Linked DNA regions of Oryzias latipes. The protein of the gene in region 2 interacts with the protein of the main gene of each other region in a biochemical or structural test. Links are inferred from orthologs where the notes say so. Each region holds a gene or a part of one and is shown on either strand. Other genes may lie near its edges. The genes, in order: bmp4 and bmpr2.

Region 1 (4,526 bases), on a different chromosome or scaffold from region 2:
GGCTTGTCTGCCGATTACATCACCCTTGTATAAGACAAAAATCAGATACATGTAATCTTTACAATAATACATTTAGCTCTAAAATTTGGCTCTTCACAAAAAATAATGTGAAGGGAAAAAAACTACAGTATTTCTGTGGTCATTTTCTCAAATTTTCTTCTGGTTTATGCTTGTCATAAATATGAATCGGGTGAAAATAGATAGAAAATGTATTTTTTGAACTCTGAATTTCATGCCAATGTGTGCAGATCATTGAAAAGACATTCACATGTTGTGAAAAACAACTGCGACAATTTTATAACTTTCAATTTAAAGAGGATTAAAAACTTTCCAAAAGCCACACTGAGAGGTGTGTAAGTGAGCCTCCCTGTGTTTATTTAGCAGATTCTTGTTTATTTGGTTATTTATTATGGTGCAACATTTGTTCGCGCATTAACCAGCAATTATTAGAATTTTGAAAGATAAAAAATGTAATTGAAACAACAATTTCATGCATATCCCTTGTGTAAAATCTGACAAAGAAACAATGTGTGCGTGACGGGTTTCTGCTGAAACCTTGATGGCTTCACTGATGGTGTTGACATGAAATGAAACCAGTTCCGACCCAGTAACAAGAGTCATGCAGGAATTATGTTCTCGAACGTTTGAGACCCGAAGAACGTTCCAGAATGCATTAACTCCAGAGCACAGAGGACAAGAACGTTCCAAGAAAAGCCAATCAGTGTGACTGAAGAGCACATTTAGGCCAAGACAAATAAAATAAATGACTCTTTGATTTTAAATTGTCCATCTAAATATTGAGGTATTACAAAAGAAGATAATTTAAGGTGTGTGGATGTTCAACCATCATTAATTTTCACTTCAAAGTCTTTAAGCTGAGTAAAAATAAGTTTTTTCAGAGCCTTGAACACAAGCCTCTAGCAGACATTTCTGATATTTTTTTGCTATCATTTTTATTTTTACTTGAATGAATAAAAAAATGAAAAAAATAAAAATTTCAAACAATAAATATAAATATAAAACGTTTATCGAATGATGGCTTCTTTAAGTCTCAATTCAGACATTAAGACACGCACTAAAATAAATTATAAATTATATATATAGAAATTATAGCTCAAAATAAACCAAGTTGGGTTTTTTCTTAACCTAACAACGTGGTTCAAAAGGGACTAACTTTTTTCTGGGTTGTTTTAATTCAGAAAATAACAAAAAATATCAGTAAAAAACATTAAAATAATGACCCAAAACATTAGTTTTGATCCAAAACAGTAAACCAGAAATATATTCCAACAGGAAAAACCCCAGAATGGGATAAATAAATAACCCAAGTGAGAGAGCAAGTACCAGGAAAAAGCCTTATTTAATTAATTTTTATTGTTAGATTATTTTACACTATAGCTTATATAATTCAAGAACGTGGTGAAGGTAAAGTTGTTTCACTAGTCTGAACTAAAATATTAATTTTGTCCCCAGTAGTTTAATAATGAAGTTTACTGTTGGAGCTCAACCCTTCAGAGCAGCGTCGTTTTTTTGTAACTATGAATCAAAAAGTTTAAGAAAAAAAAGCGAAACAAACAAAAAAACAAAACAAAAAAAAAACAGGTAAATGAGTGAGGTGTATGCGCTCAAAGTGGGGGCGAATGTCAAACGGGGAGGGGGGAGGGGGGTTATCCAAGGTGTATGGGGAGGTCGGAGACGGAGGAGGAGGAGGAGGAGGCAGGGCGGAGAAATAAAAACTGCGAGGGACCAGAGATGTTTGATCATTTGCGAAGTCTTGTGCGTCCTCCTCACCGCCCGCCCATACAGACTGTTCTGGAGGCTGATAGAAACCCCGCCGCAGAGCGCCGATTGTCCACGGCTCCGTGAGGAGGTGCCACGAAGGGATTAATGAGCCTAAAAAACGCACCAAGTTTCTCATTTAGGCTCATTTGGGCGTTTATTCCTGCGTAAGGCCTGGAGCACTTTTCATTATCTCTTTTTTTTCCTATTGATTTGAGGATACCTGTACCTCTACTGATGGTAAGCGCTCATCCACTGACACCGTCGCGCATGAGTGAGCCACTTTAGATGGAGCAAACCTTTGAAATACCATGCTCAGGAGTCTGGCTTCACCACTCTTAACTTATGTCATGATTTTGCTTCTAGCAGATCACATCACTTCAGTTTTTGTTTTAGAAGAAAAATCCTAAGTTTTAGGACAACGTGAGCGCAAGGCGCGTCAAAGTGAGATAAAAGCGCGCAACCACCAGCCCCGCGATCTCAGCTTTTGGTGCCCTAGACTTAAGCAATGTCAGGATAGTGAGGTCATTTCCAAACAGAGAGTCCGATTTCGTTGCGCTCCATTTTCTGTGGACCAGCAGACACATTTGATTTTCTCTGGGTTTTGTGGCTTTTTTATTTATTTTTTATATTAAGTCCCAAAAAGTGTCTGAATAATTAAACACCTACTTCTTCGTCATGACGCCCAGGTACGAGTAAAACCGCTGGTCGATTGATTCTTCAGATTTGTCCAACGTGATTTAAACTGTTAAAAAAAAGACATTTAGCTTTATATTGATTTGTGCGTAAAACCATGTCCCACTTTGTCTAGTTATGGTATTTGTCAAACTACAAAATAAAAACGTTCATTTTCTTTGTTATATAAAATTAAAACTCATGTTTTAAATGTTTTTTCACCACTGCGTTTGTTGATTTAAAGCCACATTGTGTCGTTTTCGTCCATAAAGCTGCAAAACTGCAACAAAAATGCAACTTGGGGCACATGCCACATCATTTACACATTTCTGTGCATTTCTAAGGAAACCTATAGCCTTCAAATTTGAGCATGGGGACCTTTTTTAAGCACATTAAGAAGATGGTATGCCATATTTAGTGCTTAAATCACTCTTTTTTTTCCTCATTTTTGCAAATCTTTGACCCAGGATCTGACTCCTTAGAAATGATGCATATTTTGCAACAGTTTAAGTGATTGATTTCAGTGCCAGTCAAATCACTTGCCATAATATTTAAGGAAGAGGAAAAACAGGCACACAGCTCATCTTTTACACCATCCTTTGTGCCTTTCAACAAAACTATAAGGCCAACAAAACCGTTAATTTGCTTGGAGTGATCTCACTGACTGTGAATGCATTTTTCAGAAGAGCGAAGGAAAAACAGCAGGCCCTTCTGATTGTTTAAACTCCTTTAGTCTCTGGTAAGTTTAGGTTTATTTTGAAGAAAGCAAACAAGCCATTTTTTATTACTGATCACAAAAACAGTCTGGTTCCTGGGACAGCTGTCATATAGCTGTTTCAGTGCTTACAAGCACCAGCTTCAGAGACTAGAACTGTCTCGCTGAACTTTTTTGCTGCTAGATAAAACGATAAGGTCAGGTGATTTGTCTGTTTCCAAGGCAACCTGCTTCCCTCCAACTTTCTTTCTATTTCTTTCTATCACAACTGTCAAATTCCTTAGAAGACACATCTGAGGAGCCATGTGCAAACTCTGATCACATTATCGCTGGTCAGTTAGAAACAGAAAAAGAAGAAGAGGCAGTTGACTGCTGCGGCCTAATTCCGCTCTGGTCTCCATTTTTTTATTTTCATTTTTGGAAAAAGTGTTCCTGTCTGCTGTTCAGTTTAAAGACTGAGGCCTTTTCTGAAAACGTCTTAATGTGCGGGCTCTGCTTTGCCTTCTCTGGGATTCTGATGAGGGAATGGGACTTACAGGATTTAGTGGAAACTCAAATGTATTTTTATCTCCAAAGTTGAAAACAGGCCAGTGTCTGCTTCGCATCTTCTTTCATCATCATCGCATCACTTTGAGTGTCTGTCTGCTGTAGCCTGCAGCTCTGTCAGTGGCTGGTTACAGTTACAAGATATTCTGTTTGGTCAGTGTTTTTGAGTGCTATGAATCCCTGTAATCATGGGAGAGGCCCTCTCTGTACAATGAACGTTTGTTGTCAGAGATGTTCACGCACAGGCTCACACACTCACTTGCACACACACACACACATCGCAGCACCCCATGGGTAATCGAGCTGATCATGTTCTGAACCCTCCTCTCCCTTCTTTGCCACAGTTCTCACGAATGCGCGAGCTGCGGCACGTGCACGCGAACCGACACATGGATGCGCCGATTCGTTTGTGTGTGCGCACGCCTGCACCTTGGGCCTTTCTTTTTCACACACATTGGATCTAATGTCATGACCGAGAAAGGGGGTGGGGGTCAAGCTGAGGTCAGAGTCTAATGCTGTTCGGAAAAGGGATCCTTGATTGCATGTACAGTGAGCTATTGAGGGGCTGAGTTAATCACACAGATACCAAGCCGGGCATGCTCACACACTGTAAAACACCCATATTTTATGGCCTCACTCTCTTTTACTGCTAATATGCATCCTCTGCGTTGTAATGCTTGGGTGCTCTCCAGCTCAACAAACGATGCCCTACAGTTGGCGTGGTCACTCTGAAACTCAGTAATTTTATTAGTGTGATTCAGCAACGTTTAGCCCTCCAAGTGTCGTGTTCAAATTCAACCATTAGAGCTGT
Region 2 (3,819 bases):
AGATTCCTTCCTGGCACGACCCTGCGTTTCCCGGATCTTCACATCAGATCAACAACTCTGGGCTCTGGTTCCAGTTTTTACTGACAGCATCACGCAAAGCTTTGCAGTGTTGTCAATCATTTGAATGTGTAAGGAAATGGAGCCTTTCTGTTCTCTCTGCGAGCATTTCGTCCTTCAGGCTCCAGTCTAAATTGGTTTTTCTATTGATCCTGTGGTTGGTGAGCTGCAGCAGCGTTTGCAGATGGACCGTTGTTTTTTTATCTGCACATTCTTCCTGGGGTTGGCTCAGCGGCACTGCGTCTGTGCCGTGCCAGAGTACAGCGGATGAGTGTATTTGTATCCGCCTTTTTATTATTAATGGCTCTGTTTTTAGCAGCAGAGCGCATTCACAGATACAAACAAAATGCATGTAAGTGACAAAAACCCAACTGGTGTAAAATAACAATTTCATCTACACATCTTTTTGTTTGTGTAACGGCAGTTTTTTTTTTTTTTTTTTTACCCAATTTCCCTCATATCGGCATATCCACCTCTCAGTCTGACATCACTGCTGACAACAAAATCTAGATTTTTCTAACGAAAGTGCCTTAAATATGGTAAAATGTTGATATTTTGCACTGAATTTTTAAGAGAAACTACCCTTTGTACCAGGAAATTGGACAAATGAAGCAGCAAACAACCTGTTGCGCAACACATCCTGTACCACGTCAATTAAAATTCCGCTCTGAAAGTCATTGGAAAGAAAACCTCTAGTTGTTTTCTCCTCCAGTTTAGTTGTTTTTTTTGTTGTTTGTTTTGGTCCCTCACTAAAACATCTTACAATGTTCCTTGGCAATTTTTTTTGGTTTTCACCACCTGGTTATTCGTTTGTACAGTCAAGTCCCAGAAATCTGATCATTCGCCTTTTGCAAGGATTTACTAGAAAAAAACAGCTGGGATAAGACTCTAAAATGATTAATAATTGTGTTTACTTTCGATGCCTAACCACCAACTTTTGGTGAAATCCAACCCAAATTTCTCAAAATTGAATGTTCAACTCTCCTTGTCTTCACAGCGGCGCAAGGCGAGGAGAGGGAGTGTGCCTTCACAGACCAACAGCAGCAGGGGGAGGTGAAGCGCGTGGCCGAAGGCGAAGGCCGGGTGTCCCCAGAGAACACCACCATCCGATGTGCCAAGGGCAGCCACTGCTTCGGGTTGTGGGAGAAGAGTCCTCCCGGCGAAGTGCGGCTGGTCAAACAAGGTATTCTAGTCCTAAAAGTCTGGATTGTGTTCAGATAAAAACACATTTTAGTTCAGAACATTCAGTTGTTTGATGTACATTTGAGAATACCGGCACAAGTTGTATTAGATGTATGCATAATGTGGTCATCTACTGCTAAAACTACTACTACCTTTAGTAACTACCAGCCACTTGGCCCCTATAGGCATTTTGGGTATTGCAGTCATACTACAAATGTCTATGAATTTTTTGTTGTGCCTAATGTAGCCTATAATTTGTTGCGCCGTATGCCGCGGTCACATCAAGCGCGTTCAAGCTTACGTCTACAGCATATAGTGTCCATACTGGACTGTCGGTACTCAATGTCTGTTTTCTTTTTTAATTGTAAAGCGATTCGAGCTGCACAATGTCTGAGAAGCGCTTTTTATGAATAAGATTTGATTTGATTTGATTTGATTTGGTGTCATATGTCAAAGCAGTGCAAATCTCGTGAATCTTGCTCTGGACTTTTTGTTTCACAGCTCTATTCCGATAAATGAAAGGCTCTGTGTGTCAGGATTCCACAAACCGCTAAGATTAATTAGACTGCATGTGAAAAAGCCTCCAATGAGATGAACTTTATTCTTATATATCTATATATCATGCCTATAGCACTAAATTGTTTATAGTATTTCCTTACTTTATGGTGCTTTACTGGTGATTTTATTTTATTTTACTAGTCTATGTTACACTGTCTTTTATGTATGCATGTGGTTTTTATACTTGGACCTGAGTTTGTACATAAATAAATATCTAAACTAAAGGGAGGTGGGGGAAAAACGTATTCAGCTGCCATTTCTACAGAAAAAGTTCGTGATTTTTGTTAAAGTTGCTTAAAAACTCAAAACAAGAATTTTCCCTGCACAAAGCTCTTTTTTAAAATCTAAATCAAAACTCTTGTGTTTTTTTAAATAGTTTATTTAACTTAATCCTATTTTATTTTATGAATAAAGTTTTCAAGCTATATTTAGATAGTGTTGCTCTGTGCATTGGTCAAAATACAATAGACTCCCTTTATCTATTCATCTCAGTAAAAAATAAGTTTCCAGACAAAAAAAAAAGTGATATGCATTGCATCATGGGAGCAGGAAGGAACTAAGCTTTTCCTCTGTTCCCCCCCCCCCCAGGCTGCTGGAGTCATCTGGCCGAACACAACGGTTGCCGCGAGGACCGCTGCGTGGTCACCCACCTGCCACCTCTCATCCAGAATGGGACATACCACTTCTGTTGCTGTGGCAGCGACATGTGCAATGTAAATTTCACAGAGGACTTCCCGACGCCCAGTCCGACCACGGCGCAGCCCATCTGTAAGCAGCCCCACACTTTTGTCTTGTTGTGTGGCGCCTTCGTTCTGTTTTAGGCTTGGTTCCCAATAAAACTGCGATGGAAGCTAGATTTGACCCTTTAAAAACATTAAATTGAATGTTTATGTCACTTCTGCTATGTTTATTTAACTTTGAGGATAAACAATAAGGATAAGTGAACGAAAGAAATAATTTACGGATTGTACGGGTTGGATTATCTTCCCTACTTGTGACGCAACAGCCAACAGGAAGCGGTTTGCGTTGCTGCCTGTCTGTTGTGGTTTTGGAGAGTCGAGGAGTGTGTAACAGGAGTGTTGTTAATTGTTTGTCACGTTTTGAGTGATGAATGAAAGCAGCATGTGTGGCGGGAAGGGTGGGGGTGAGGGTTGGTAGCAAACGCCGGCTCGTCTCGCTTCTCCTGCCGACATGCAAACAAACACACACTCTCCGGCACGCACATTGTCTTTCTGCATTCCAGGGATTTCGCGGCGTCTGCTCTCCGCCTGTCTGCAGGCACGCAGGCGACCGTCTCTCTGTGCAGACAGACGACGGCGGAGTGAAAAAGAAAGGAATTCGCCTTTGATCAGAGCTTGTAAAACTCCCAGTGCATATTGTCCCGGAATATTGGATTTCTTTTCTGAGTCCGACGTGCCCGGGCAGAAACTGGTGTGCGTGATGTGAAGCGGCTGGTGGGAAATGGAGTCATTTGCCAAATGGCTGCCAAATGACTGTTTTGACTGACTGTAAGGCCGGTCTCGTGCAGGCATTGAGCAATGACAGAATCCAAAATAATCTAAACACGAGTACAAGGAGTCAAAGGGCTAGCAGGGATTCTTACAAAGCAAAGAAGGTTGTCGACTGCTGATGAATCTCAAATCTATCGTCTGTATGTCTATGTCCTTTAGGACTACTGTCGTCTTGTTGGCTCTGCTTTCATTGGGTGTTCCAAAAATTAGAAGTTTCAAGTTCCAGGGGAGTTTAAAGATCACTTTTATTCGTGAACCAACAATCATTACTTAAGAACAGAAGATAGGGTCATGTGACTGATTCTGGTTTCTGTGGAGCCGCTGTAGACGCATTTGGGATATTTGGTCGCCGCTATCCTGATAGCATTCAAAGCCACTGGAGTGTCCTAAAGTGGGAGAAAATCTGAGGGTCGTTGAAGCATGCTCAGACAAGATCGTAGATGTTAAGCCTGAAGACAGAGCTTCATTTTCTGCATAACTTCAAAGTCAAACATCCAAACAAATATAGACA

What was found.
Region 1: the proteins of bmpr2 (region 2) and bmp4 form a complex in vitro, tested with the Homo sapiens proteins (2 studies listed by BioGRID). The link is inferred for Oryzias latipes from reciprocal best matches to the Homo sapiens genes BMPR2 and BMP4.

What each region holds. Positions count from the first base shown.
Region 1 is NC_019880.2:7,804,856-7,809,381, forward strand, and holds the start of bmp4 (bone morphogenetic protein 4), read left to right. Parts: upstream 1-1,654; 5' UTR 1,655-2,019; intron 2,020-4,526.
Region 2 is NC_019860.2:15,312,762-15,316,580, forward strand, and holds part of bmpr2 (bone morphogenetic protein receptor type-2), read left to right. Parts: intron 1-1,054; coding exon 1,055-1,240; intron 1,241-2,385; coding exon 2,386-2,565; intron 2,566-3,819. UniProt on the Homo sapiens protein: On ligand binding, forms a receptor complex consisting of two type II and two type I transmembrane serine/threonine kinases.